Lonchura striata: one gene and its partners. The protein of the gene in region 2 purifies or fractionates together with the protein of the main gene of each other region. This does not show direct contact. Links are inferred from orthologs where the notes say so. Each region holds a gene or a part of one and is shown on either strand. Other genes may lie near its edges.

Region 1 (6,956 bases), on a different chromosome or scaffold from region 2:
GGCTGTGCCCCTCGGCTGTGCCCCGGCTGTGTCCCGGCTGTGCCCCGGCTGTGCCCCAGCTGTACCCTGGTTGTGCCGCGGCTGTGTCCCGGCAGTGCCCTGGCTGTGTCCTGGCTGTGCCCCAGCTGTACCCTGGCTGTGCCCCGGCTGTACCCTGGCTGTGCCCCGGCTGTACCCTGGCTGTACCCTGGCTGTACCCTGGCTGTACCCTGGCTGTACCCCGGCTGTGCCCTGGCTGTACCCTGGCTGTACCCCGGCTGTGCCCTGGCTGTGCCCCGGCTGTACCCTGGCTGTACCCCGGCTGTGCCCTGGCTGTGCCCCGGCTGTACCCTGGCTGTACCCTGGCTGTACCCCGGCTGTGCCCCCTGGCTCCCTGCAGGCGCTCCCGGGTTCAGGCCAATACTACAGGACCTTGCTTAGCAGGTTCCGCTCTTCTTGGAGCTCATCAGCTGTAGGTACAGCCCAAGGACAGCTCCAAGGACAGCTCCAAGGACAGCCCAAGGACAGCCCAAGGACAGCCCTGTGCTCAGGCAATCACCCCCGAGCTGCGGACGGGCTTGTTCTCACACCGGGGAGCACAGTCACACAGGATCAGTCACACACGGGATCCCAATCACACGGGATCAGAATCAGACATGGGATCCCAGAGTCACACACGGGATCCCAGAGTCACACACGGGATCACACAGTCACACACGGGATCACACAGTCACACACGGGATCACACAGTCACACAGGATCACAGAGTCACACAGGATCAGTCACACACGGGATCCCAGAGTCACACACGGGATCACACAGTCACACACGGGATCACAGAGTCACACAGGATCACAGAGTCACACAGGATCAGTCACACAAGGGATCACAGAGTCACACACGGGATGACTCAGTCACACAGGATCACACAGTCACACACGGGATCACACAGTCACACAGGATCAGTCACACACAGGATCCCAATCACACGGGATCAGAATCATACACGGGATCACACAGTCACACACAGGATCACACAGTCACACACGGGATCACAGAGTCACACAGGATCACAGAGTCACACAGGATCACAGAGTCACACAGGATCAGTCACACACGGGATCCCAATCACACGGGATCACAGAGTCACACACAGAGGATCACTCAGTCACACAGGATTACAGTCACACACAGAGGATCACTGTCACACACAGAGGATCACTCAGTCACACACGGGATCACACAGTCATGCGCGGGATCACTGTATCACACACAGTCACACCATCAGAATCACAGTCACACATAGGATCACAATCACACAGAATCACTGTCACAGTCAGAATCACTGAGTCACACACAGGATCACAATCACACAGAATCACTGTCACAGTCAGAATCACTGAGTCACACACAGGATCACAATCACAGAATCACTGAGTCACACACAGGATCACAATCACACAGAATCACTGGATCACACACAGGATCGGAGTCACACCGTCAGAATCAGAGTCACACCGTCAGAATCACAATCACAGAAATACAAACAATCACACAATCAGAATCTGTCACACACAATCAGACTCACAGTCACACACAATCAGGATCACTGAATCACACACAACCACACAATCAGGATCACGCACAGTGACACCAATCACAGAACCAGAGTCACTCAAAATCATACAATCAAAACCATTGAATCACACAAAATCACAGAGTCACACACAGTCACAGTCCCACACACAGTCACACACAATCACACACACAGTCACCAGGCTGGAAGAGACCTCCACGACCATCGAGTCCAACCCAGCCCCAACACCTCAACTGAACCCTGGCACACAGTGCCACATCCAGGCTTTGTTAAACACACCCAGGGATGGGGACTCCACCACCTCCCCAGTCCCTGGGAATTCCCAAAATTCCCAGAATTCACAGAATTACCAAGTTAAAAGAGACCTCCAAGACCATCGAGTCCAACCCGGCCCCAGCACCTCAACCCATCCCTGGCACCCAGTGCCACATCCAGGCTTTGTTAAACACACCCAGGGACGGGGACTCCCCCACCTCCCCGGGCTGCCATCCCAGAACTTTATCACCTTCCTGGGAAGAACTTTTCCCTAATATCCAGCCTGAATTCCCCTTGGAATTCCACAGCTTGAGGCTGTGACCTCTGGCTCTGTCAGTTCCTGGAGAAGGAGCCCAACCCCAGCTGAGCACAGCCACTTTCAGGAGCTGTAGTTTGGCTTTGCAGTTGTTTTGTTCCAAGTTCATTTTGTTTCATTCTGTACTTCCACCTTTAAGGAACACTCCAAAGGAGATTCTGACCTTTAGGGTTTGAGAACCACTTCCAAACATTGCTTCGTGCTGAGCCACAGCCTCATTGGCCAAAGCAGGAACACAGAAAGAAAAGTTCATTTACCAATTATTAAATCTGACTTGGTTCACATTCTTGGCGTTGCATGTCATTAGCAGAAATAATATTTGATGTCACTGATTAAATTGCAGTTGCTGCATGAAGATAAAATTGTGCCCATAGCTATTTATGGTCAGAAATAAGTTGTAATTAAAATAAATCCAAAAGCCAGTCTGGGGCATGGGCTGATCTGAGCTTGACACAGGGAAGGAGGTTCAGTGACTTTCTGCTGTTTTCCTGATCAGAAGGAACAACTATTCCTGCTGTTTCAAGGAAAAGCTTTCCTCCCTTGCCAGTGCATTCACTCTTAAAAATGTAACTTTAATAAATAACACAGCTGGGATGAAGATATTGAATAAAAAGGGAGGGCACACCTGTGCTGGCAGAAAAAGTTACTGGTGTCCATCTGCTTTGGCACTTCCTTGCTTTGGGCTTCTGAGCTCGTCTGACATTTCATTGAACCCATCTAAAATAATTTCTGAACTGTCATAAATGTTTTGTTAAAGTATAAAATTAAATTTACTTATGATATAAAGGTGCTTATATTTGTTCATCTCAGATTTCAATAAAAACATGAAGTATTTTTCCTTTTCTTTCCTAATTTAAAAAAGGACCCCACAATTACTGATTTAATCCCCTCCTCTCCCTCTGTCTATGCAAAATATCTGATGCTCTTACTCATTTCTTTGTTCTCCTGGTTCATATTCCCAATCCCTTTCCTCAGCAGTCAAACATAATAAATCTGAAATACTCTTTGTTTGTTCCCCTGTGCCTTTTCCCAGGAAGAGGAGTGACCTCAAAGTGATTTCAGGGGACCACATCTGACCCCTGGAAAAGACAAACCTTCCATTCAAGTAGACTACAACATCTTTTAAAGCACATTTTAACCACTTCTGACAGTTCTTCTCATTTACCTTTAACATTTTAGACACCAATTGTAGCATAAGTAACTGAAGCAAAAGCAGCTGTGCACAAAAGTATGAAAAGTACCCTAAAATGTTATTTCTGCATCTCCAGCAAGTACAGGAGCATCTCTGGGAGCCACCGTGCACCTTCCAGCAGCAGCTGCCCCAAAAGCCAAAAGTTTGGATTTCTCACTGATGTTTTCACATGTGCTGGACTCAGATGATTGTGCAAGATCTCTGCAAACCCAAACTGACTCCGGCCTCAGAGGGTGTAAGGAAAAACCCACATGGCCAGGAGCCAGGAAAGGGACTGTAACTTCCCAGTGATTACAGCTCTGCAGTGAAATTCTAAACAAGTCAATGGCTCCTTTTTTTATCCATAAATCCAGTGGATCCAAAGCTGCTCTGGAAGATTCTGCAAAAACCTGCCCAAAAAAATGCAGGAAGCTTCATTAAAAATGAACAGGCAACTCAGTAGCTCAGGAAAAAAGACAGTGCTGAATCCTAAAGCCTGCCCTCCTGCGTGCCTTGCCATTCCTGCTGGGACTGAGAGGTTTTTCCAAGGCACAAGAAGCCATCGGGTTTGTTCAGGCAGGACAAAGCTGGTGGCAGCACAACCCACTGAGCCCTCAGTGCCTCCAGTTACTGGGGTGGAAAATCACTGATGGACAGGGACATCCTGGCTGGAAAAACCTGGGCATGGAGGCACATCCTGGGCACGGGAACGGAGGGCACCAGCCTGGCTCAGCCCAGGGACAGCCCCAGGGGGGTGGGATGTGGATGGGCTGGGGGCAGGGAGCTCTGCAGAGGGACCAGGACAGCCTGGAGCCATGGGCTGGGTGCCAGGCTGAGGGACAGCCAGGCCAAGAGCTGGGTCCTGCACTGGGGTCACAGCAAGCCCATGGAACACCCCAGGATGGGAAGGGAACGGAGCCCCAGGAGGGGCTGGGGAGCTGGGAAGGGGCTGCAGAATTCCTGAGGGAGCTGGGAAGGGGCTGCAGAATTCCTGAGGGAGCTGGGAAGGGGCTGGAGAGTTCCTGAGGGAGCTGGGAAGGGAATGGAGAGTTCCTGAGGAGCTGGGAATGGGCTGGAGAGTTCCTGAGGGAGCTGGGAAGGGAATGGAGAGTTCCTGAGGAGCTGGGAAGGGAATGGAGAGTTCCTGAGGAGCTGGGAAGGGAATGGAGAGTTCCTGAGGAGCTGGGAAGGGGCTGGAGAGTTCCTGAGGAGCTGGGAAGGGGCTGGAGAGTTCCTGAGGAGCTGGGAAGGGGCTGGAGAGTTCCTGAGGAGCTGGGAAGGGGCTGGAGAGTTCCTGAGGGAGCTGGGAAGGGAATGGAGAGTTCCTGGGGGAGCTGGGAAGGGGCTGGAGAGTTCCTGAGGGAGCTGGGAAGGGAATGGAGAGTTCCTGAGGAGCTGGGAAGGGGCTGGAGAGTTCCTGAGGGAGCTGGGAAGGGAATGGAGAGTTCCTGAGGAGCTGGGAAGGGGCTGGAGAGTTCCTGAGGGAGCTGGGAAGGGGCTCAGCCTGGAGCAAAGGAGGCTCAGGGGGACCTTGTGGCTCTCACAGCTCCTGCCAGGAGGGGACAGCCAGGGGGGGATTTGGGATCTGTTCCCAGGGAACAGGGACAGGACAAGGGGAAATGGGCTCAGGCTGGGCCAGGGCAGGCTCAGGGTGGGCAGCAGCAGGAATTTCTGCCTGGAAAGGGAGCTCAGGCCTTGGCACTGCCCAGGGAGGTGGTGAAGTCTCATCCCTGGAGGTATCCAGGGAATTCCTGGATGTGGCACTCAGAGCTCAGGGCTGGGGACAAGGTGGGGATCACTCACAGGCTGGACTCACAACTGAAATCATTCTGTGATTCCAGAAAAAATCCCCTGCTCTAAGCCCCAGGGCAAGCCCAACAACCTCACCTGGTCAGAAACTGATAAAGGTTGTACTGGATTCAAGTTCAACAAAGATGGCATAAGTCACAATATTTAATCAGAGGTTTCTTTGAAAGCCTTCCAAAACTTTTAACACAGGTTCCCTCCAGACAAAACAGAACAAACTCAAATCCAGGAGAGTTCCAAAGCACCCGAGTTTCTGTGACTTCACATCAAGTCACAGAAACTCAGGTGGTTTGGAACTCCCAAAGTCCCAGCTGAGTGTCAGTAAGTGCTCCAGCACTGAGTTCCAGTGTCAGCTGAGCGCCCAGAGCAGAGAGAGGATCCCTGAGGAACTTGCAGGTCAGGCTAAGAACGGGGAGGTGGCAGTGGCACTGAGGTGCCAGCCCCGCTGCCAAGGTGCTGTTTGAAGCTCACTGCCCTCTGGATCCATTTTCACTCCCCAGGGAAGCACTCAGCCTGGCCCCAGGAGCCCTGCAGGCCAGCACGGAGTGTCTCAGCACAGATTTGGCACAGGCAGCTCTGTTCTCCAGCTCACACAGCCAGGGCGCAGAGCTGGCAGCACACTCAGTGCCACAACACCCAAACCAGAACCAAACCCTCATCTTCCTTCACTGTCCCACAGCCTCAGGAGTAGAAACGGCTTTTTACAACCTGCCTGTTGAAATTAATGTCTGCTATGGGATTTACCAGGAGCAAACAAGAGCAAATCCTGCAGCTGAAATTGTTTCCTTGAAATACAGCAGTGCTCCTGTCGGGTAAGAGAAAGGAAATACTGCAGGAGGATTTTTGAGCAGTAAGAAGTTGGACACAGACTAATTAAGAGCTTACCCCTCCCTCTCAGGAAGGGAAGACTTTTTGTGGAGGGGATTTCTGAGCACTCCGTGCTTCTAAGAGAAGCTGGCGAAGCCTCCCCTCTCCATCCCAGCCCACAGGCCCCAGCACTGCTTGCAGAGCACAGGAGAGAACTCTGCAGCTGCCTCTGAATGCAGTCTGCATTGCTGGGAAGGGCTCTGAGCTGCATTCCTGCCCTTTTCCCATCACCCCAGACTGGAGATGCAGCAGGAGCAGGTCCCACACAGCTGGCAGCTCAGGGCTCTCCCAGAGCTCCCTGGCACACCTGGGGAGGAGGGAAATTCCAGTGAGGAACACCTGGAAACAGCAACTGCTTTCCCCCAGCACAACTGACTTCAGGATAAAACAGCTTGCTCAGTTTTAATTCATTAATTTCACCTCCTACATTAACTTAGGGTGTGAAATCTTCCTCACCACCTTCACAGGTCTGAACTAAAATAATTCTAGGTTTGTGAAGTGTTAGATATTACCGAAAGGGTACAGGAGTACAGAACCATTAATCTGCATTTAAAAGTCTCTCTGCCACTGCCCCAGGCAATGGGAACTGAACACCTACACAGGGCTGATAACTTTAACTTTGTCTGAGCTGCCAGACACACAACACCTGCTTCAAGAGCCTGGCTGCACCCAAACTGCTCCAGCTGTGCTCACAAAGGGGCTTCCTTCCACAAGAACATAAGCCTGAAGTAAAAGTCCAGCTGATGACATTTGCCATTGCCTTCTGTAAAACTAAGGGGCTTTATCCCTTAGTTTTGTCGCTTTCTGTTTTAATAAATAAATAAAAATTTAAGTTAGGGCATCAGCTCCCTCCCTGCTTGCTTTATGCCAGGACACCCCTTTGCCCCCCACCTCTTAAATCACAGAATCACTGAGGCTCTCGTTCACCCAAGACCACTGAGTCCAACCTTTGACCTAAATAAAGT
Region 2 (6,844 bases):
AACCCTCCCCGGGCTCCCCCAGCACCCCAAAACCTCCAAATTCCCCCCTCAGCACCCCCAAACTCCCGTACCTGGGCAGGGTGCTCCGCTGGGGGGCGCTGTCGAGCGAGGAGCCCTGGAGGGTCCCGGAGGAGCCCCAAAAACGAGGGGGGGCAAAAGGGGGTCGTGGGGCACCCAAAACATGGGGGAGCTAAGGGCTGTCCCCAAACACGGGGGCGGAGAAGGGGCCAAGGCAGGCGGGGTCAGGGGGGGTCCCCAAAACTGGGAGAGGTCGAGGGAGTCAAGGGAGGGGCGGGGGCAGTTGGGAGGTCCCCGGAACACCCGCGTGGGGTCAAGGGGAGGGGCAGGGAAGTGCCCAAAACATGAGGGGGGTCGGGAGGGGGTCTGGGGGGTTCATAAGGGGTCAGGGACGGGTGGGGGGGGGCAAGGGGGGGTGTCAGAGGGGTCCCCAAAACACCGCAGAGTCATGAGGATGTCGGGAGGGGGAATCGGGGGGTCTCCAAATCCTGGGGAGGATCAGGGGGGTTTTGGGAGTCCCGGGGGGGAGGTTTAGGGGGGTCCTGGGAGGGGGGTTGGGGATTCCCGGGGGAGGTTAGGGATCACGGGGAGGGGTGGGGTGTCAGTGAGTCGAGGGGGTTTTGGGGGTTTCGGGGGTCTCACCACGCGCTCGCTGCGCCGCACCGGAGCCGTGTTCCGCCTCTGGAAGGACACGGCGGGGTCTGAGGGGGGGCCCGACCACCGGGGATGGGGCCTGCCCGGCGGGGTTTGGAGTCCCGAGGGGGATTTGCGGGGTTCAGGGTCCAGGGAGAATATCGGGGGTACCGGATCCTGACATGGGTGTTTAGGGGTCCCGAGGGGGGGGTCCCGTCTCCTGCTCGGGGCGGGCTTGGGATGGTTTCAGCCCTTCCGTGGGGTCCCTGATCCTGCCCGGGGAGTTTGGGGGTCCCGAGGGGAGCTCAGAGGGTCCTGCCCGGGGGTGCCTCGGGAGTTCGGGTCATGCCCGAGGGGTTTGGGGGTCTCGAGGGGGATTTGAGGGGTCTCGGGTCCTGCCCGGCGGCTCTGGGGAGGTCGCGCCCCCCCCCCCACTCACCAGCTCCGGTGGGGGCAGAGGTTGGCACGGTGACGTCACCTGGAGGAGGACACGGGGATCATCCCAAATGGACCCCAGCCCCAAATGGGCCCCCCCCGCCCTTGGGTGACGTCCCCGCCCCACGTCGTACCTTGCTCTCACATCTCTTGTGCGCGGCGACTTTGCAAACTGGGAGGGACAACGGCGACATCAGAAACCCCCAGGGTCCCCTCAGGGTTTCCCCAGCGTCCCCCCAGGGCCCCAAATACACCCCCATACCCTCCCGCTGCCCCCAACAACCTCCCAGTATTCCCAGTAACCGCTCACTGCCTCCAGTGACCAATTCAGTGACCCCGGTAACCGCCCAAGTAACCCCCCAATGCTCCCAGTGACTTCCCAGTGCCCTCCCAGCGCCCCCAGTACCTCCACTGGCCCCAGTAACCTCCCAGTCCCAACCCCACTGTCCCCAGTACCCCCTCCCCACCCCATCCAGCCCCTCCCTATGTCCCGGGACTGTCCCGGGGGTGTCACCTCTGCACACGAGCCCGTGGGGTCCCAGGGGGGTCCCGCAGCCCCCACAGGGCGCCCCCCGGCGCAGGCTCCGCTCGCGGAACGCGTGGGGGGCGGCTGGGGACGGCCTCGGCTGGGGAGACACGGGGCGGTCACCGCCTGTCCCCTCCATGTCCTCCCCGATGTCACCTCTCGTTTCCCCTCCATGTCCCCTCGTGTCACCCTCTGTGTTTCTTTTGTGAACCCCCCCCTGGCCTCCCCGGGTCCCCTCAGTGACCCCCCTGTGTACCGGCCCCAGTCCCACCCAGTTCTCATCGCGTCACCTCCGTGTCCCCTCATGTCACCCCCCTGTATACAGCAGTCCTCCTCTGGTCCCCTCATGCGTCCTCAGGTGTCAGTCGGTGTCACCCGTGTCCCTCCTTGTGTCCCTCCATGTTCCCTCCATGACTTCTCACTGACCGCGTCTCCTCCGTGTCACCCGTGTCCCTCCATGACGCCACGCGTGTCCCCGCATGTGTCCCTATCATGTCCCCCTCTTGTCACCCGCAGTATTCCCCTGTGTCCCCCTCCCCGTCCTCCCCTGTGTCCCCTGTATCCCCTCTCGGATCCCACTCCTGTCCCCCCCATGTCGTCCCTGCGTCACCTCCGTGCTCTCCCATGGCACCGCTGTGTCCTACATGTCACTCCCCGTGCCACCCCCGTGTCCCCCAAGTAACTCCCCCACGTCCCCCGTGTCCCCTCGTCTCTCCCCGCTTGTCCCTCCCGTAACTCCTCGTCGCTCCCGTGTCAGCCCCACTCCCACTTGTGCCTCCCCGTGTCCCCCACCTCGTGTCGTCCCGCGTGTCCCCCCCGTGTCCCCCCCGGCCCCTCTGGCCTCCGGCCACGGACATCGAGTCCCGCAGGAAGCGGGCAGGGACAAGCCCGGGAAGTGGCGACCCCTGGGACGACCCCGCCGTTCCCACGGAGGGGGAGGGGCGTGGGAGTCTGTGCGGGGGGAGGGGGCACGGTGGGGGACGCGGGAAAAACGGGGAAAAGTGGGAAAATGGGGGAAAAGGGGAAAGTGGAGGCGAGGGGTGAGCATGAGAAAACATGGGGAGGGGCGGCGAGGGGGGGGAGGAGGGTCAGACTCGACTTCCCCCCCCCGGTCACCCAGCGTCACGCGTGGGTAGGGGGCGGCTGGAGCGGACAGCGGGGGAACCCCGCGGGGGCGCCACGGGGGGGTTCCCCCGCTTTTGCCCCCGCACCCAGCCCTCGCTTCCCCACGGGGGGTCCCCACCCTACGCGGGACCCCCATGAAGCGGTACGCGGAATAAACAGACTCCCCCAAAACCTCCGTTTCACCCACCCTCACCGGGACCTTGCCCCGGTCCTACCGTGTCGGGGCCATCGCGGCGGCCAAGCGCGCGCAGAAGCGTTCCCACGGCCCCGGGGGGCTTCATGGGGGGGCTCCGCGGGGACCTCGGGGGGTCCCAGGCGCTCCCGGGGGGCGTCTCGGGGCTGCCCGTGGGTGCCGCGAGCGGCTCCGTGGCCGAAGGCGCGCGGGGAGGGGCCGTTTCCGCGAGCCCGGAGCCGCTTCCCGTGCCGGGGGGGGACACGGACACGGGGGGGACACGGGCGGGACGACACGGGAGCGACACGTCTGGCCACGGGGAGGGGACACCAGGAGGGACATACGGGAGACAAGGAGGCGACACGGGGGACACGGAGAAGACACACGGGGCGGACACGGAGGGGACACGGCACGGGACACCGGGAGGATCACAGGGGAGACAAGGAGAGGGACACACGGGGGACACACGGAATGACACCGCCCCCTGCCGACCATGCCTCAGTTTCCCCGTCTCATTTCCAGGATCCCCCAAAATTCCTCCCGAGTCCCCCGACGGTTTCCTGGAGCTGCCCCCGCCCCCTCTTCATCCTCCTCCTCCCACCGCCCCCTCGCTAACCCGCGCCGCGGCCCCCCAGGACCCCCAAACTCGGGGAAAAAGGGGGGGTTGGACCCACCCCATGGGGTCCCCCAAAATCAAGGAGAAGGGGGAAGCTGAGACCCCCCCGCCACGAGACCTGCAGATTCATTGGGAAAGGGGATCCTCAGCCCATGGTACCCCCAAACTCGGGGCGGGGATGTTGGTTTGGAGGGGCTCGAGGGACCCCACACAATCCCGGGATGGGGTCCCCAGGGAGTGCAGGGACCCCAAACTCCTCCCTTGTGAGACTCCTGGGGGGGAAGCTCGTTTCAAGGGGAAGAATTGGGGTAGAGGGGGTTTTGGGGGGCGTTGGGGTGGGGGTTATTGAAGTTTTGGGTTGCAGGGGAGGAATCAGGGTGCAAGGAGGGTTTTGGGGTGCAGGGCTGGTTTGGGGTGTGGGTTATTGTGCAGGGGGGGTTGCGGTGCAGGGAGAGAATTTGGGTTCAGCAGGGGAATTGGGGAAGAGGTTTTTGGGGTGCAGGGAGAGGATTTGGGTTTGAGGGACTTGAGGTGTGTAGAGGGGATTGAGGGGCCTGATAGGTCCCCTCCCGGTTGGGGTTGTCAGGGTCCCCTTCTCCCGGCCCTTGGGGTCCTCCCCCCTCACCCTGGCCAGGACAGACCCCCCTTTGTGGGGCCGGAGCCGCCCCGGGGGGGGCCGCATTCCAGCGGTGGGGGAGGCGGGTTCCAGCATTCCAGCGGTTGGGAAGAGCCGGGAAAGAGGAAGGGCGGGGGGTAGGGGGTGGGATCCCGGGGCTCGGTGATGTGCCTGCATCCCCAATTAATTACCCCAAATTAATTACCGTTAATCAGCGGAGGGTGGAGGAAGAGTAAGAATGGAAGGATGCAGAGAAGAATCAGAATGAAGGTGAAGGAAAAATTAAAAAGGAGGAGGAAGAGGATGAAGAAATAGGGATGAGGAGGAAGAAGATGGAAGGAGGAAGGAGAAGGAACAATGAGAGGAAGGACAGAGAAGAAGAAAAAAGGAGAGGAAGAAAATGAGGTGGAAAAAGGAAGGAGAAGGGGAAGCAGGAGATGCAATGATAGAGGAGGAGGAAGTGAAGAAGTGAGGAAGTGGAAGAGGAAGAGGAGAAAGAGCAAGAGGATGGAAGGAAGGAGGAACATGAAGAAGGAGGAAAGGCAGTAAGAAAGGAATGAAGGATGAGGAAGGAGAAAAGATGGAATGAAGAAGGGATGCAAGAAAGAAAAAGGAAGCCCAGAGAGAGGAAGGCCAATGTCGGGACAGGAAATTCCCCCTGGAGGGCTTTGGGAACTGCCCTGTTCCCCTTCAAGGTGAAGAGGAGAAGGGCAGAAAGATCTGGGGCCTTTCTGGATCTTTTTCAGCTCATTTTATTGGAGAAAACAAAACAGCCCCCAACCTGGGGGAGAACCCCAAAACGCCCCCCTGGGGACCCCAAAACTCCCCCAGGACCTCCCAAAACCTCTGGGAAGGTTCTTTTTACACAATTTTACAGCCCACCCCAAATCCCAAAATCTCGGAGTATCTTGAGGTTCTGGGGTGGAAATTCAGGTTTTCCTGTGTAAAGGGTGGGATTTGCATCCCAAAAATTGGGTGGGGGAATTGGAGGGGCACCTGTGAGCAGGAGGATGATGAAGGTGCCCAGGGGGAAATCAACATTCCAGAGGTGAGGAAAAAGGGGGGCAGAGGGGGATCCCAGACCCCGGAGGATTTGGGGGGGATTGGTTGCCTCCCTATCCCTGTTTTGGAGGGGCTCCAGTGAGGATGAAGGCCAGCTCTTCCTCACCCCTTATTCCATGGAAAACAAGGAGGGAGGAGCTGCTTTTCTTTCAAGAAAACTCTTGGAATTACCCCTCCCGCTCCCTGTGCTGATTTTGGGGTGATTCCCGTGCGTTCTGTGTGGGGTTGTTTTCAGGATTTAAGAAGCTGTAGCTGAGGGAATTGATGAGTTTTAGGCTTTATTTCTGTCTCGCCTGGATCAAGGTTGGGATTTTTGGGAATCTCCAGAGGTTCCTGCAGCAGCTGAGGAGGAGGAAGAGGGGGAGGAAGTTTCTACTCAGCTCCTTCTTCATCATCACCTTCATCCTCCCCATCCATAGAGAGCGCGGCGTATTTGCTGGCATGGCTGAACTGCGGGGAAAACCAGGAAAAATTCCCAAAAATGGGAATTGAGGGGGATAAATATCCTCAGGAGCTCACACATCCCAAAACCAGGGGGTCACAGCCCCTCAGAAAGGGTCAGAGAAATCCCAAAATTGCCAGGGTGTTTGAGCTGGGAGGGCCAGGGGGGTGTCACTGTTGAAAAAAAACAACTCCCAAAGCTCCCAAAAAAACAAGATTTGAAGGGGATGAAAACCCCCAGGGGGTCATGCACGCCAAAAAGAGGGGTTCACAGCCCTCCCCCAGGGAGTTTCAGACTGTTCAAGGCTGAACTGTGAAGGTGGGCAGAGGGAGAGGGGCAGTGAAGCAGAAAATTCCCAAAATACCCCAAAAAATGAGATTTGAGGGGTTGAAGTCCCCTGGGGGTTCACTCACCCCGAACAGGAGTTACAGCCCTCCCTGTTAACTGGAGGCATAGGGCATCAGTTATGGTGAAAATTCCCCAAAACCCCCCAAACCCGGGATTTGAGGGGGGTCCCTCCCCTGTTCTGGGTGCCCCAGATCCTTACGGAGGGGGGGGTCTCCTCCAGTTTCTTTGGCTCGTGCTCCTTCCGGGGGTCCCTCCTGAGGAACAGAGGTCAGAGGTCAATGCCCGGGGAAATTCCCGGTGCCCGGGGGGGTTTCCCGGCTCCGGAGGGGGCTCTGGGAGGGTCTCACCTCTCAGGGTCCCCCATTCCCGTGGGGCCGCGGCTGCAGCTCCGGCCCTTGGAGCTGCTCTCCCGACCCCCCTCCGGCTTCAGCTCCTCTGCAGGGAAAGGGTCGGGGGGTTACAGCCCCAAAACCCCCTGAACCCCCCAGCAAGGCCTCAACATCCCTGGAACCCCCTGAACCCCTTTAAACTCCCCCACAAAACTCCTCAACCCTCCCAGATCCCCTGATACCAACCTCCCCCTGAGCCCCCTGGAAAGCCCTGAGCTCCTCCAAAATTCCCCAAACACCCCATTAACACCCTCTGAGCCCCACAAGTGCTCCCAAGACTTCCCAAATCCCCAAAACCCACCCCAAGCTTTCCCAGTCCCTTCCTCCTAGTCTTACCTCTCCTCTGGGGGGTCCTGGGGGGGCCCCCATCATCTCCAGGGGGGGAGGGGCCAGGGGAGCCCCCACTGGGGAGAGAGAAAATGGGGGGAAAGGGCATCAGGAGGGTCCCTGGAATGGCCCCAT
Region 3 (7,752 bases), on a different chromosome or scaffold from region 2:
GTAGATCTATTTATAATCAACAGCTGGCTCCACCTAGTGTCCTATTAATTCATCAGTGAAAGAGAAAGCTAAAACCAAATACTAGAGAGAAAACAGAAACAAACTAAAAAAATCTCTTGTCAGCTGGGTGATGGCCACAGACAGCATGAAGTTACAATTACTGGCATCACAGGGAAAAGAATATTTTAAGTAACTACTGCATGATGATTGCCAGCCAGCATTCTGGAGACGTGAAGAGACTAAGCAGATTCAGGAGTATAAAGATATAATATATGCAATATAAAACAGTTTTACTGCTACCCTGAAAAGGAGAATGAGACTTAAGCTGTTTATAGAGGTTTCTCTCTCTATGGTTTCACTGTGATCAACAATGAGAAAGTATTGTTAAATTTAATTGAACTTCGATGAAACAGAATAAAATTTTATTTTATTTTATTATCAGCAAAACTACAGAACTATTTCTGGTTATTCATACCCTACAGTGATCCTCTCTGTTAATGAGTACATCTCCCCTCCCAGCAGTTACAAAATAATTTAAAATGTCTCTTGTAAATGATCAAAACAGGGAAATGCACAAGAAGCTAAATAACACCAACCAGCTATTAGTTTTACTGATCCTTACATTCAAACTTTCCAAAGGCTGGTTCACTGCTATGTATCTAGAAACATCTATCTTTCTAAAACTGTTACAGTTTTACTCAGCAACATTTAGTCTTTAATAGCCTGATCCCTGTTGACAAGACAACACAGAGTACAGCCAATAAAGTAATTTAAGATAAAGTCAGAAAAGTGAATATCCAGTTTGACAAGAAATCTTTTGATTATCACCTGTGAAAAAAAATTTCTAATGAAGAAAATTCTAATGAAGAATGGAGTTTACATAGAAGAAAGCATTTTGTAAAGTAATCCAAGTAATTTAACATAATCATAACCTGTGAGCTATCAAGCAGTGTTTGAGTGGTTGTTGAACCTTTGAATAGGAAGAAAGAGAATACCTTACATTTACAAAGCACTACTTTCACCTCTCTAATCGAGGGCGATCCACTCTTGTAGAGCTGATGTCTGTTTTAAACCTGTTCCTATCACCTGTTCAGAGCTGCTCAGCCGGTTCACCCTAGTGGTGATAAAATATATTTCAATATGTACAATATGCACTTAATGACTGTTCACCGTGACAGACAGGGAGAATATATATGTTGTGAGGTGGACAAGAGGAAGGATCATGTAATAATACAATACCTACACCAAAGAAAACACCTGTAAATTTTCTCAAACTCTCTCAAAATATTCAGTTAAAAGTTATGGTTGTGACCCACCTAAAGTATTCACAGTTAAATTCAGTAATTATATGAAAACCTCACAGTGCAACACAGAACATGAATTTAATAAAATGCACACAGAAATGCTCTCTAATGTTTTAAAAATAAGAGAATACTCAAGATCTCAACAGTTAAGCAGTTACTGTCATTTCTCATTAACAGTTTTCAGAACCCTATCTGAAACAAGTTGATACAGAGAAATTAGGAACAGTAATCAAGCGAGAAATGACAGACCAGCTGGGTAGGCATCAAGTTGGCAAAACGTGAGTACAGTTCAATAGCTGAAACAGATGCTGGAGTTGTTGAGAAACCCTGCAGGAGATATTGATGTATTTTCTTTATATAATTCTGAACAACCGGATAAATGTCAAGAGCTAAAAACTGATGGGGAATAAAACCTGTCATAAAAACTAACTGTAAAGCAGAGACATGCAATAATATCCTTTTGTTATACCAGAGCATTTAGTACATGCATCTTCATTTCCTTGGAATTCCTCAATATACCAATATATCAATCAGAGCTTGCTAGTGAATCGGAGGGAGCTTTTCCCAGTCTTGTTTCACATTTGTTTGTTTCTATCTACCTGAGGCTTCAGAGACTTAGAAAATACTTTATTCTTCAGTCTCATCCTAACAGAACACTCTCTTTCAAGCAAGCAATTCCCCGAGCTTGCAGGCAAGCAGGAAAGAAAGAGTAACACGAGCATAAATGAAACTGCAAAATCCATTTTGCACGAGGAATTTTGTTTTCAGAGTTTCAAGACCTCAGCAACAAATCCTCTGTCATCAGTGACAGCTCATTCTAGCATATGCTTTGTCATGGTCAGTTTCTAATTACATTCATAATGATGCAATAGCTTTGATAATCCTACCTTCCATGCCAGCTGCTTTTCTTGTCACTCCATCATGCCAATAAGTTGGCTGCCGTAACAAATCAAGATAGTGCAAAACAGCATCTTTCCCCTGCATCTGTCATCTTCCTGAAAGCATTCTATTACTGCCGACTGCTGGGAACCAGAAAGTCTATTTGAATTCCAGCAGCTCCCCTTTCGCATGATTCAAGTTAGGTTAGGTGGGCATGCCTAACATGATTCTCTCCATCATTTATTATGCAGCTGCTACACCGTCGGTGTGGTAACCACTCTGACTTTATCTGATACGTCAGTCTTGCAAACCTCTACCTCCGTGCAAGCCCACGAGCCACAGAAGCATCTTGCATTTAATGAGCATTCTCCCTGCCTAAAGAGAGTGCATCTGTAAATCTGTTTCAAATCCTGCTGCTTGTATTGTCCTCTAAGGCTGATGCAAATGTTTGAAGGTTTTCCTTTTTTTTTTTATTCTTGCGTTTTTTTCTCTCTTCAGGAAGCTCTTCATGCACGCTCAAATTATTCAGCTTCAGCTAAACGTTTGCTGATTTGTGTCCAACCAAACAGCACCTTCCCGTTGAAACTCTCTGCTCGAAAGCTACTTCTGAATAACAGTGCTGTGCGTTCAGGCTCTCAACTCTGTTCATTTTGAACATGGCTTTTATAGCTACACCTCAACAAATGCATTTAGTTCTTTTCATGCAATGAATGGCTGTCTAATGAGGGAGCTGTACATATTTAAGCAATTTATCTAAGCCTATCTGTAGTGACACTTGCTTTTTGTTCTTTATACATTTTAACAGTAAGTAGATAGCTCTGTTACAGCATCTTGATATTCTTAAAGTGGTAAGAACACCACAATAAGCTGCTTTTTGCCAGCCTGTGGAGGACACTTTCAAATGACAGAGTTTGCTTAACTGTTTCTGAGTATCAGGAATTAAAGGGACAGGGTTGTTTTGTTGTCTTTCTATTTATATTTTCTGTTGAGTGGGGGAAAAACACGCTTGCGTCAGTGATTTCAAAAGAATATTAATAGAAATTGACATCTACACATCAATCATCCTCCAAGTCAAATTAGCTGTGTCTCCTCCCACCACTTCTGCCTGCAGTTCAGAGGCAAGGCATTTCATCTTTAATGTGTCTGGTTGCTCATAAGCTGAATAAACAACCCCAACCCCACAGTGGAAAGTTTGTGAGTGAAAGAAGGGACAATTCAATAGAGGCAACAGCCTGGCTTAAACCTGATAGTTGACTGAAGTAGTGAGGGGAGAGCAAGGACTGCCACTGGAGTAATACCTACATCCTTCCTCAGCCTTTGCACAATGGCAAATGAGGAGAGAGGAAGGGGAGAAAAGGCAGAGTCCCCCAGGAAAGCTTTCCCTTGTGGCAGCTGCCAGCTCAGCATCACTCACCAGTTCTTGTAGTCCTGGCTCAAAAGACTCATAGACTTAAGCCTCATTTCTTTACTCAGATTATATATGTTGAACTTTTCTGTGGTTTGCAATCCCTCCCCACCCTATGAGCCCCTTCCTCCCCCACAAGTTTCGAATCTCAGTTAAGTTCCACAAGGTCTTGGCTGTGAAAAATGAGCCTGAAAGCATGAGCTCAGGGGAGATCCAAGTCATAGACAGTAAATGGTGAGGGGGGGGCAGGCGGCTGGAGAAACAAAATAAAAACCAACCAAAGCAAAAAAAACCCTCCAAATAAACAAACAAACAAACAAAAACAACAAAAGAAACAAACAAAATCCAAACTAAATAACCTAAATCCCAAAAACAATCCAGGAAACAAGGTAAGAGGGTTTCCTATTTTGAAAAACAAATAGAAATAAAAATTCAGAACATCTGATATCCTCCTCTAGGACTCCCACAGGGCTGTTACCAGCGGGTACCCCTGGCACAGCACTCAGCAGAGACCCTGGGCTGAGGGGCAGGTTGCTGCTGGGTTGCAGAATGTGAAAAATCTCCCAGCCCTTCTGGGAGGGATCTGACTCCCTGCTCTCGCCCACATCCAAATGGCACAGCTGACACCTGAAGGAGCTAACATAGCATGGCGCCGTTTCTATATGTGATGCTGTATTTATTCCTAGCATGCTGCCAGAAAATGCCTTTTTAGAGATTTCATGTAAATAAAGTAGAATTACTACATCTGTTCCTCTGTCTGTAGCAGCACGTATCAACAAGCTAATTTTGCATTCAAGGCAACAGAGATAGTCCTACCATATAGTTGCAAAGTGCACAACTATAAAGCGCCCATCTGAAAATACTGTCAGCTCCTTTTGTTCACAGTTCAAGCCATTGCTGAAGTGAAACAAACCGGGCAATGAATGAGGACTAACTTTGAAGTCACCATCAATTCCAAGTAGATAAAAGGATATGCTTAATATTTCACACTTCTAGCTGCATTACGATTTCTAAATCATAGACACAGAAAGAAGGAATTTATATGGTATTTCACAACAGATGAGTTTGAGCACATATATCATATAGCTTGTATTTGCAGAGAATATCTAAAGTACCCAAAAACTCAACATAGGCTAAATTTCTAATTCAATAGATTTTGAGATGTGCAAGATTATAGATTAAAATATCAAGAAAAACATTTAATATGTTAGTAAGACATATAGTAATGAAAATTTAATGGGAGCATCTGGTGTGGCAAAATATATTTTACCAGACTCCTATCCCACGCAGATATCTTTGAATTACAAAAAGGAAGAGGGGGAAATAAAGGACTGATGAAGAGCATTTCCAGACAAATAAGCATGGCATTATGGGGAGGACCCACTGTGGTTCACCATTCAGTATTAGTGCCCTGCAACACAGCACACATACAGTGGATGGGATACAGTTCAGCCACACAGACGTTCCCAGACACATCAGGTCTATGGGGAGTAACTATTTTTGTTCTGGGGAAAAAAAAAACCAACAAATATTATTAATTATCTCTTTTGGAGGAGAAGGAAACTGAAATACACCAATGTTTGTATCTTTTGTGCACACTAACTGTATAGAAAAACAGCCCAGAGATAAATGGAGAATCTGGGAGGGGAAACCAGTATCAGTCATTCTGTCCACATACTAACAGGCCAGATTAATAGCTGGCTTTTTTCTCTAGCTTTTTCTGCATTTTTCTGCAAAAACAACAGCCGTGGTTTCTGCATATTGTAAGTGGATTCAGCATCTGCATAGATATAATTATAGCAACCCACCCATATGGAATGAATTGCTTTAGAGAGAAAGCTCCATGGGTTGCACTCCCAGAATCTACAATAATACAAATACATAATTTTTTGTCTTATACAGAACCATTTGGAATAAGCAGAAATAAATGACAAGTGGAAAAACACTCATCAAGTGGCATTTTGCTTTCTACGGTACTGAAAACTCAGTAGGCAAAGAAACTCCAGCCTATTTGGGTGACAAGTCTCTTCCTATCCATCTACAGCTTATGGCAATGACATATCTATTTGTTTTAATTGTTTCACTGCTACTAGAGGGACTGATTGGTGCATTCAGGGTGCTTGATTTCTATTGTGGTGGTGTGTGCATATGACAGTGACAACTCAGGTATCTGTAGAGCCTCTTCTTGAAGCCATTTTTTTGTTTGTTTGTTTTTGTTTTTCCTCTTTGGAAGCACCAGTGACTCTGACCAAGCAAGAGCAAATAATGGATCACTGAAAAACAGGAAGCAAGCACATTGGCCTTGACCTTCAGCTCTACATGACGCTCTACATAATGAACTCTCTCCAGTATGCAGAAATGAATGCTGATCTTGCTTAGCAAATATTGTTCATTTGTTTTGCTAATATATCTCCTGAAGAAAGTCACTTTCTCTTCCCTTTTTCCCTGCCTCCCATTTTACTTAGATACTTCATGCCTCTCCCAGTGAACAACTAATTCAATCGATCAATCATGCAAGAAAATACGTTAATGATATACTGTGCATGTTTAGATTAATAAACGCCTCAAATAAAAGCACTGGGAAGTTTGTTTGGATAACACAGACAGGAATTATTATTTCTTACTGTTAATCATTCTATATTAGCTACTTTTCAATTATAGGATTTCTGATGTACAAGAGTAATCTGTGCATAAACAGTCACTTTCCAATATAGTTAGACAAATCAGTACTTTCATTTTTATGGCAGTATTTCAATCATTTGGAGAGGATAAGTTCGGACAATTTCAGCAAATGTGGCTTTGACTGCTCAAGATTTAAAAAAAAAATTACTACAGACAAGTGTATGAAAAACTGAAAATTAAAAATGCATAAAAGTCATGTCTCTATAAACCAAAAGGCCAGTGCCATCATCCTCTCCACATGGATGTTTACAAGCCCTTTCCAATGGAAAGGTTCAGAGGCCTCATCATCCAAACAGGACCATGGTGTTGGCCAAAGAGAAGTTTGATATGTGTATGTCCCAAGTCATCCAGCTAGGAACCTGACAGACATCCCAGGAGCTGAAACTTTCAGGGATTTAAAAATTTTTGCTCCCCTGCACCATAGTTTATCCAGTTATTTTTGTGCAGAATTCACCTTTGTTTTTTGAACTGAATCTTAGGTATATGAAATTCAGCTATGTTCAGGCATTTGTCATAAGATGAAAGCTCAAAGCACACTGATCTCAAAATGTGTTAGGAGGATTCATGACCAACCTTTTGAAATAAGATTGACCATGTTTATTGTAAATTTTTTTTTCAAAATTTTATTACAGATGTACTTACAGCAATAATAAGCAGTGATTTCTTCAGCAAGAACAGGATTTCATACTACAGGACATTAAAAAGTTATTCACAAAAAATGCTACAGAAACAGTTTTCTGAGATGCAGAGCACGGCATACTCAAAAGTGGATACTCTACATTAATTCTGAATATTGCTGTGTGATATAGTCATCTGAACACTGCTTCAAATGTGGATAATATAATCTCTCACATGCAGTAACTACGGAGGATTTTTAATGTCAACCTCTGCTTACGTCTACAGATAAGCCAACATACAGTCTACATTTGGTTCTCACATAGCATATGTATTTCAGTGACACTGAATTTAAAACAGTAGGTTCTAGCAAGAAAGAATAAATCTGGTTAACTCATTCTCCAAATATTTAGCACACATCAGGAAGCAGAAACATACAGTTTCCCTATTTAACACTCAGAGAATTAGTGACTTTGAACTCTTCATCAAGTGCTGCTAATCTTCCACTTTAAGGAAGACTTGTATGTTCTGTTAGCACAAAACTGAGCAGTGACATGAAGTTCATGCTAATTACATAAACATGTACTTTGTTCTCTTACAGCTCATCTTAAATCAGACTGATGTGAGCTACCCAGCTTTAACCTCCTGCCATTCATACCTTGACTTCTCCAGAAAAAATGCATAGTTCAGCAGTACTGAGCTTGAAATAATTACTGACTTAAGCACCTTAATTTGTTCATTCTTTCTACAGTTGTAGTCCATGTACAAAATGACATATAACAGATGTACCAGCAATTTTAAAAAAAATGCCAAAATTAATTAAAAACAAAACCAAACCACCCAGATCTAGCACACACCTTACAGCCT
Region 4 (7,673 bases), on a different chromosome or scaffold from region 2:
TGATGGCTCCTCTCCTGTGCTTGGACTTGCATGCTGTTACTCAAGGCTCAGTGCCTGGGCTTCAGCTGAAATGCACGTTACATCCCAGCATATGAGCACACAAATGTTGAACAGTGCATCTGTCATAGATTCATTAGGATTTGGTTTATAAAGGTACCTGTGAATGGGCAGGAACCTTGCTTTGGAAGATGTGCTCAGCATTTTAAATGACAAGCAAACTGCAGAAGGCTCCTACTTTTCCTGTGGACCTCCTATGAGTCACTCCTATGAGTTGCTGTAAACAGGTGGCCTGGGATGATTTGCAAAAAGCAAGTACTGTTTGGATGTGGCTGGATTTTACAGGTGTGATCATAATGTAAGCAACACTTTCCAAAGATTAATGTCCTCCATAGATTTCCCTAGTATTTACATTCAAAATATTCCCTTTTACAAAAGGAAAAGGGAAACTGTAAGAAGAACATCAAAAAATACCAAAATTATGGTGATTCTTGAAAGGCATTACAATTTATGTACAGTTGCTACTATTATTTCTTTTGCAGGATGAGTCAGTTATTTGTGGCAGCCAAAGACATGCAGTTTTATGAGACCCATGTGTCAAGTGCCTGAAGCGCTGTGTGCTGGAAAGGTTTGTGTTGGAGCTGCCTGTGAGAGCACTGAGAGAATATCTCTCTGTTATCTGTACTGCAGTGCTCCACTAGCCACCACACACGCTGTTCCTCTTCCACAGTAATGAGGGCATCTACTGTATTGATAATGTTCTTTTCAGTAGAAAGCTTTATGCTGACATGAACCTGGCTGTGTGAAACAAGGTTTCAATAGAAATGCTAAAAACTCATTGTTCTCATTTTGAATTTGCTGGTGTTGTGGGTTTCCTGGAAGTAAGGGATAAGCTAATAACTAGTTTCCATCAAAATGCAACAAGCATTTGAATCATTACTTTCTGTTTTAAGTTTCTGTTGCCCCTCCACCATCCTTCTTAGCATCTCCTTTGAAGCTCTTGTTTGCTTGCTGAAACAAGTATTGTGTGGCCTGCTAATTCAAATTGTGCGGCAGGCCAGCTAAAAAAGTTGTCAGGTTGTTGTGGTGAAATAAAACATCCTGAACAAAATTATGGGGTGGTAATCCCAGAGCATGAGAAGCTCTTAACCAGATGCTCATTATAGCAGTATTTTAAAGGGTAGAACTAGCCAGGTAACACAGGAACCTTGAGAAAGGCTGAGCTTCCCCTCTAGGAAAACGCTTGGCTCTCACCTTGGAGAAGGAAGGTGAAGGAGGAGCTCTGTACCTCCTTGTTCTGCTCCCATAAGAAGTCCCTTAGATTTGTTTTTTCCTCTGCCAAGAACCCAAGCCTTTCTCTATAGACTAGTTTGGAAAAGTGGAAGTTCAGAGCAGGGCTACTCAAGGCCTACTTGGAACACAGCTGGAAGGAGACAGGCTGTGAAAAAGAAGCCATTTTCCTCTTCTTAGAGTCAAGGCATTCAAAGCTCTTGGAAGGCTCCCAGAAGGCAAAGAAGAAATGGAAACCAATTTCATTATAGATTGTCTTACATACAGGGGAGTTTTAGAATTAAAGGATGTTGCCCTCTGGTCCCATTGTTGTTTGCCTCTGTGACCTTTAATTTTACTCTGAACCCTGTGCTGACTGTGTATATGCTGGGGCTGTGATAGAAAAGTGAACTTAAGTATTTATGAGCTCACTTTTAAATGAATGAATACAGTTATCTGAGTTTTTTCCCTTTTCCCCCCAACTCTAGGTGGTTTTTTGCTTTTCCATTCCCTGCTCTGTGAACTAAGATATAGTTAAGTCGTGCTTCACAGATAAAGTATGGAATTTAGACCTACTCTTCAACAAGGGCTGAATTGTCATCTGAGTTCCAGTCCTTCTGTAAACTATTACAGCAAGCTTGTCATGTGTTGAGTGTAGCATTGTTCTTTATGCTTTGTAATATATGGGCAAATATAAAAAGACGTGATTTCTAATTATTAGGCTTCTAGTTAGGCTTCCCTCTACTTCTGTCTTCCCACAGTAGTTTCAGCTGGTCTTTTCTATCATACATGATAAGAAGCCTAGGCAACCAGCCAGCTGCTCTGGAACTATAATAGGGCCAGTGGCATGTACAAAATTTGATTACTGCTGTCAACACCAGAGAGAATAGAAGAGAGCACGTACTCCAGTCAGAGAGCTACTAAATAAATGTTGAATTCAGTAGTAGTAGAAATAAGACCATCTTCCTCGTAATGAATGAAGTAGTTTATGGGTAGAGAGTATACTATTGAGCTCTGGAGTTAGGTTAAAATATTTTTTAAAAAGTCTTCCTTTGCAGCCTTCAAAGATTACTTTGACCAGAAATTTCTATTTCCCTTCTGTTTATCTGCTCTTGCAGCTAATGTATGGATTTCACACCCAATACTGCAGATATTCATAGAGACCATGGTTTCACTTTTAAAATTTAGCTTAAAAATATTCCTGCCATCCTAAAGGTAACTTATTTGCACATGGGTTCAGATATGAAACTATTTCATGCTAGTAATTCTATTTCTGTTTAGGCAAGAGATGTTTGTTTTTTTTAATTTAAACATAGTGTAACAACCCCCCACCTCCCCCTCCCCCCACCTTAAGTTAATAAATATTCTCAGTGTATATTCTTGTTGAAATGTTGGATTTTTGAGGTAAAACCTGCTGTTAGATAAAAGTGTTTTCTCTGATGTTCATGGCGCAGCTGCTGGTGGCAGGCAGAGCTTGAGGGCTGAGCTTCTCTGGAAGCTCTGGCGCATGAATGATTTACTCAGCTTTGCTAATACCTTCACATTGAATGCAGTTCAAGGGGTCGGTGGAATCAGAGTGGTGTTTCTCTAACTGCTCTCACTGACTGCAATCACTTCCTCCTTTGAGAATTGGTAAACCCAGAAATGTTGTCACAGACTAGCTGACTCGTGAAACTTGTGCTTATTCTTCAGTCTTGCCAAGTGTGGGTGGGCCTTGGAGCAGCAGGGACTAAGGTGAGGTAAGGTATTGGATATACAGGCGAGCATTCTTAGGGGATTCAGACCACTCTCATCTCAAAACTTGAAAAAAGGAGCATGTGGTGCTGTTGGTAAGACTTCTGGCATATGTGCAGGTCTGTGTGCTAATTCTCATCGTTTCCTTGGTGGAGATGGTCGCATCTTTGTTTTATGCTTGGGAAGTGCTTGGTGCACAGTAAGGTTTGTATTTGTATTTACAAAATACATACTTGTTTGTTTCTAAAATAGAAATTCTAACTTTAAAACTTTTATTGCCTTTCCACTTTGGTCTTGTTAGCATGGTTCACAGAAATGTTTGGCTACAAATGTCTGATTTAGCCCCCTGAATGTATGGTTGTCTTTATTCATGGAAACAAAACTCCTTTTGTGTGAGGCCTTTCAGCCTTCAACTTTGAGGAATTCTTGAATTCGGGGAAAAAACATCCAACCCACAAATTTAAGTAAGACCAACTTCTGGCCCACAAAAATTTAAAGAAAGATCTAATCTTGATTTCTTCCTCCTTCCCTTCTCTGAATAGTGTCTGGGGTGTAATACTGTCCTGACTGGATATCAATGAAGAGAGGAGAGCTGTATCAAGAACATTTGTCTTATAGCATGATACAATGAGACAGGCAGACAAATCAAACAGCCTCTATCTTTCTGGTTTTGAAACCAATTCTATGGTTTAGAACTCTTTTCTCTGGTTATAGTGCCTGTACTTGCGTGTTCTAGCTAATCTCTTCTTGCATTACTTTGTTGTGACTTTTGGAATTCTGTACAGTTCAGAATCCAAAAGTGTGGGATATGGAGTGTCTTGCATAACTACAGCATTTGGATTCTTCTTAATTTGGTTATAGAGATGGCAACAGGCTTTGGAAGACAGAGGGATTCAATTTGCTTTTTGTACTGGTGGTAAGCAAAATTTAAAGACCCACTTGAAAATAACTCAGATCTTATCATAGCCCTGCATTACCAACTTTTTGCTTTACTGTTCCTTGCTCTGTCTTGTTTGGAATTACTGCACAGTGGAGAGGGCATGCCTAATCAGAGTTTGTAATTTTCTACTTGTACAACTTCCTTTATGTGCTATAATCTTATGTTTAAATTTTCTTGTGCTTTTTTGAAAGGCCATTTAAAGATGTGGATGCTTACTTTGAAGAGTTGTTCTGGTTTTATGTTCTGTTGAATGTGTGAAAAAAGTGTTATAATGATACTGCAAACTTTTTACAGAATGAATGCTAAAAGTATTTAGGATATTTAAAATGAGTATGGTGCTTGACCAGAGTTTGATTTGAACAGAAAAGGAAAGTTACCATCAGCTTTCCTATTTTCAGTTTGTAGAATTTAACTTGCCTGTTCTCTGAAAGCTGGTGTCATCCTATTTTCATAAGGAGTAGCAAAGCAGCATATTTATCTGATTTTAAAGAGAAAAGAAATCTCAAGTAGCTGGACGCCTGTGACTTGCTAACGTGCAGCCTTTTTAAAGGTTTATTTCCTGACTGGTTTTGTCAGTCACTGTGTGGCTGAATGTGTCAAACCCTCAGAGGAAAACCAGTGCTTCCCTCCCCCTAGAATCCCAGCATGCAGTTCTTGCGTGGGTACTAGCGTGTACTTCCTCTGCATCTTCACTTTCCTGTTATTCAAAAACTGAGCTTGATCATGAGCGTTCAAACAGCCAAAAAAGTTGTATGGAAAAAGTACAAGGTTGCTGCACCTCGGCATACTGACCAGCAGACCTGTTATGCTCCGCTGGGTGAGTGCTTCCCTGTGTTCTGAAGGCTGTGGTAGATGAAAAGATCCAGGCATGTGGGTCTGCTTTTATCATCTACATTTGATGAGAGCTGCTTTTTTTAAATTTGCAAAAGTTTATTTACTCTAACAGAGCAGGTCGTGGAGGGCATGGCAGGAAACAGAGTGGGGAAAGGCTGTTTTCTGTGGTGCTGCTCCATTGAAAGCGTTGTGTGAGCTCTGGCTGCGTCACACCTACAGACACAAGATCCTCTTGGTAATTAATGCTTGTGTTGTGGGCTTCCCTTTCACCTACAACAGTGACTTGTTCATGGCAGAAATTTTAGCATCATTCTGTCTGCTTGAAAGTCTTAATGTCCCTAATTTTCTTAAACTATGCATTAAATTCTGGTGACTTCAGCATTTACTTGTTTTGAGTCTTTAAAGTTCTGCCTAGTGTGCCTTCTGGTACTTCTGAATGTAAACTTAGAGCAGGTCCTTGGCACCTCACAAGTTTTTCTTCTCATTTTAGTAGTATCTCAAAAGAGCCATATTTCCTGTAATTTGGAAAGAATGTTTTGTGGAGGGATGCTTTGAAAAAGAATAAACTTGGGATATTACTCTTTTGTCCTCGTTTTGGCATCTTTCATACCTATTCTGATTGAAATTTCATGGGTTGTCTCATCTGTTTTTTGACTGGGCCAAATAACACAGATTGGCAAGGAAATGACAATTTGATTATTCGTAGTACCTGTGAATATGCTATGTAGGTACAGTAATTGACAGATGAGAACTGTTAATTTTGTGAATTGGTGTCAGAACTTTGAGAAAGCAGAACCTGTTGATCAATAAAGAATTTGGTCCACTTGACTTTTAATGTGGGTTTTTTTACAAAGCTGGAATCTGAAGATAGGTTTTTAGAAAGAGAAACTACAATCCTCTGAAGTTGTATCAATGTAATGACTAAATTTAGAATAAAATGATGGGCTGGGACTCTGATTTCACATATGTTTGCTTCTAGAACAATGAGGTAGATTTGGATATATGCCAGTTTAGCTGAGAGCAGAAAGTTTTCCTTTGTAGCTCAGTCCAAACTTCCTTAAGAAACTGACAAAAATGTTAAGAAAACTCAGTAATGTGAGTGGAGTTTCTTTTGACTGACTCTGGAGAGCTGAGTAAATTATAGGTTAGAGAGATGTAGTGTTCTTCAAAATCTGCACGTATTCAGCCCTCAAATGTGAGACATCTGCAGTTGATCACTCTTGGAAGGTTAGCAGTAGGAGAAAATCAATCTGCTTCGTTTTTAACCTCAGCTGCTGTTCATGGAAGTTGTTTGTTCTGGCTTTGCGTGTACTGGTGTAGGTTTTTTTGGACTATTTCTTGGGGTTTTTTTCTTTCTTCTTTTTTTGTTGTATTTTTAGAAGAGCGTAAACTTGGACAGGAGTTATAACCAGCCATATAGTTAACTGATGAGCACTGCAGTTGTGAAACCTCTGAAATGTTCATCTGTGGGATAATAGGAAGGTCAATCTCTCTGCGGTTTTATATCTCAATCCTTCACATCTTTCTAACATGTAAGTGCACACACTTAATATTTGGTAATGTCTGTGTGTCTATGGATGATTTCTCTGGCACTTGCTCCAGGTGGCTAGGCTAAGGTGTGAACCTCCCAGGTGATAGCAGCTACATGCTTGCTCAGGTGCTTTATATGATTGAGCACAATGTTTACTGATTGTTTCTTAAAGCCTGTTTAAATCTGAGCTAAGCTCTCACTTCTTTTAAAATAACATAGATCATGGCCGGTAAATTGCAGTTATAGTTTTTCTTAATCAAGCAGCAAGATTTTTTTCAGGAAATTTATTCAATTATAATCTTTGTAACTGTTCATAAAGTGTAGCACTGTAGATTTGCTTTCCAAGAGAGTCATAGTCCCACATTTATTGTCATCTCACTTTTTTAAAAACTCTATATTTGGAGTCTGTGAGAGGTGTGGCTTTGGACACTTCTTAGTGTGTTGGAAATGCACACAGGAGGGAAAAACTCTGAAAAAAGCTAGAAGGTAAGAGGTGTGGAAAGGAAAATGAGGAAAAAACCTGAAGGTAAAATAAGTCGTGGGGGTGTGTGTGTGCACTATGATGGAGAGGCCATTTCTGAGAGGACAGGATTTTTAATGATGCAGTACTGGAAATACTCAGGGAAAAAAGGGGTGGAGAAGTTGGAAGGGGTGTGTATGTAATTGTTTCTTCATGTCCTTTGCTTTTCACAGAAATCTAGAATACAAAAAAAAGGGACACTTTTCAGTCAGCAGAGGTGTGGCTTTGGCTTTTTTGGTTGTGTGCTTGCTGTGGGAATTGGCAGGGACTGGAGGAAAGGAGGTTGAAGCTCATACCTGATAAAGTATCTGATAGTAAATGAATTAGTTTGGGTGAAACCAAAGTGGATAAGACTAACTTCTGTTCTCTGAAGCCTGGAGAGCACACTAAGTTTTGTCAAAGATTGATTTATGGCCTAAAACATACTAAATAACTTAGCTCATCTGGTGCCCATCTTTATAACAGTCTATTCTCTCTTAATAACCTCTTAAACTCTCTAGCTTGTGACAGGCACTGGGAGTGTGGTAGCATTGGTAGGCTACTGGAACCAAAGCTTACTCTTTATATAAGAGGAGAAAAAAGAAGGGATCTTGTACTTTCTTTTGTCTGTTCAAACAAAAAGGCTTTCTTCATTGCTGTTCTATACTAAGGGAGATAATGTGTGTTCTTCTAGTAAAATTTCTGAAACTATTGCAGGAAAATGATTGGGCTATTTTGTGTTGACATATACACACTTTACTGTTGTGGCACTATTTGATGTGATTATTTAATAAAATGGGGCTTTTTTTTTTGCCTCAATTGCCTAATTACCCAGATGGAAATCACACTGTCATTGCAGGGAAGGCTAC

What was found.
Region 1: the proteins of TNS2 (region 2) and DTNB purify together in Homo sapiens (affinity purification with mass spectrometry; 3 studies listed by BioGRID and IntAct, with this or other methods). This does not show direct contact. The link is inferred for Lonchura striata from reciprocal best matches to the Homo sapiens genes TNS2 and DTNB.
Region 3: the proteins of TNS2 (region 2) and DMD purify together in Homo sapiens (affinity purification with mass spectrometry; 3 studies listed by BioGRID and IntAct, with this or other methods). This does not show direct contact. The link is inferred for Lonchura striata from reciprocal best matches to the Homo sapiens genes TNS2 and DMD.
Region 4: the proteins of TNS2 (region 2) and UTRN purify together in Homo sapiens (affinity purification with mass spectrometry; 4 studies listed by BioGRID and IntAct, with this or other methods). This does not show direct contact. The link is inferred for Lonchura striata from reciprocal best matches to the Homo sapiens genes TNS2 and UTRN.

The regions. Positions count from the first base shown.
Region 1 is NC_134605.1:113,406,421-113,413,376, reverse strand, and holds the start of DTNB (dystrobrevin beta), read right to left. Parts: upstream 3,013-6,956; 5' UTR 2,865-3,012; coding exon 2,773-2,864; intron 1-2,772.
Region 2 is NC_134629.1:4,650,022-4,656,865, forward strand, and holds the start of TNS2 (tensin-2), read right to left. Parts: upstream 3,019-6,844; coding exon 2,953-3,018; intron 1,713-2,952; coding exon 1,601-1,712; intron 1,259-1,600; coding exon 1,221-1,258; intron 1,130-1,220; coding exon 1,091-1,129; intron 700-1,090; coding exon 604-699; intron 116-603; coding exon 72-115; intron 1-71. Other genes in the region: EIF4B (eukaryotic translation initiation factor 4B), read right to left, coding at 5,576-5,653, 6,193-6,247, 6,341-6,428, 6,719-6,786. UniProt on the Homo sapiens protein: Tyrosine-protein phosphatase which regulates cell motility, proliferation and muscle-response to insulin. Phosphatase activity is mediated by binding to phosphatidylinositol-3,4,5-triphosphate (PtdIns(3,4,5)P3) via the SH2 domain.
Region 3 is NC_134604.1:107,466,181-107,473,932, forward strand, and holds the start of DMD (dystrophin), read right to left. Parts: upstream 3,010-7,752; 5' UTR 2,289-3,009; coding exon 2,192-2,288; intron 1-2,191. UniProt on the Homo sapiens protein: Anchors the extracellular matrix to the cytoskeleton via F-actin. Ligand for dystroglycan.
Region 4 is NC_134605.1:49,976,111-49,983,783, reverse strand, and holds the start of UTRN (utrophin), read left to right. Parts: upstream 1-4,662; 5' UTR 4,663-4,663; coding exon 4,664-4,757; intron 4,758-7,673.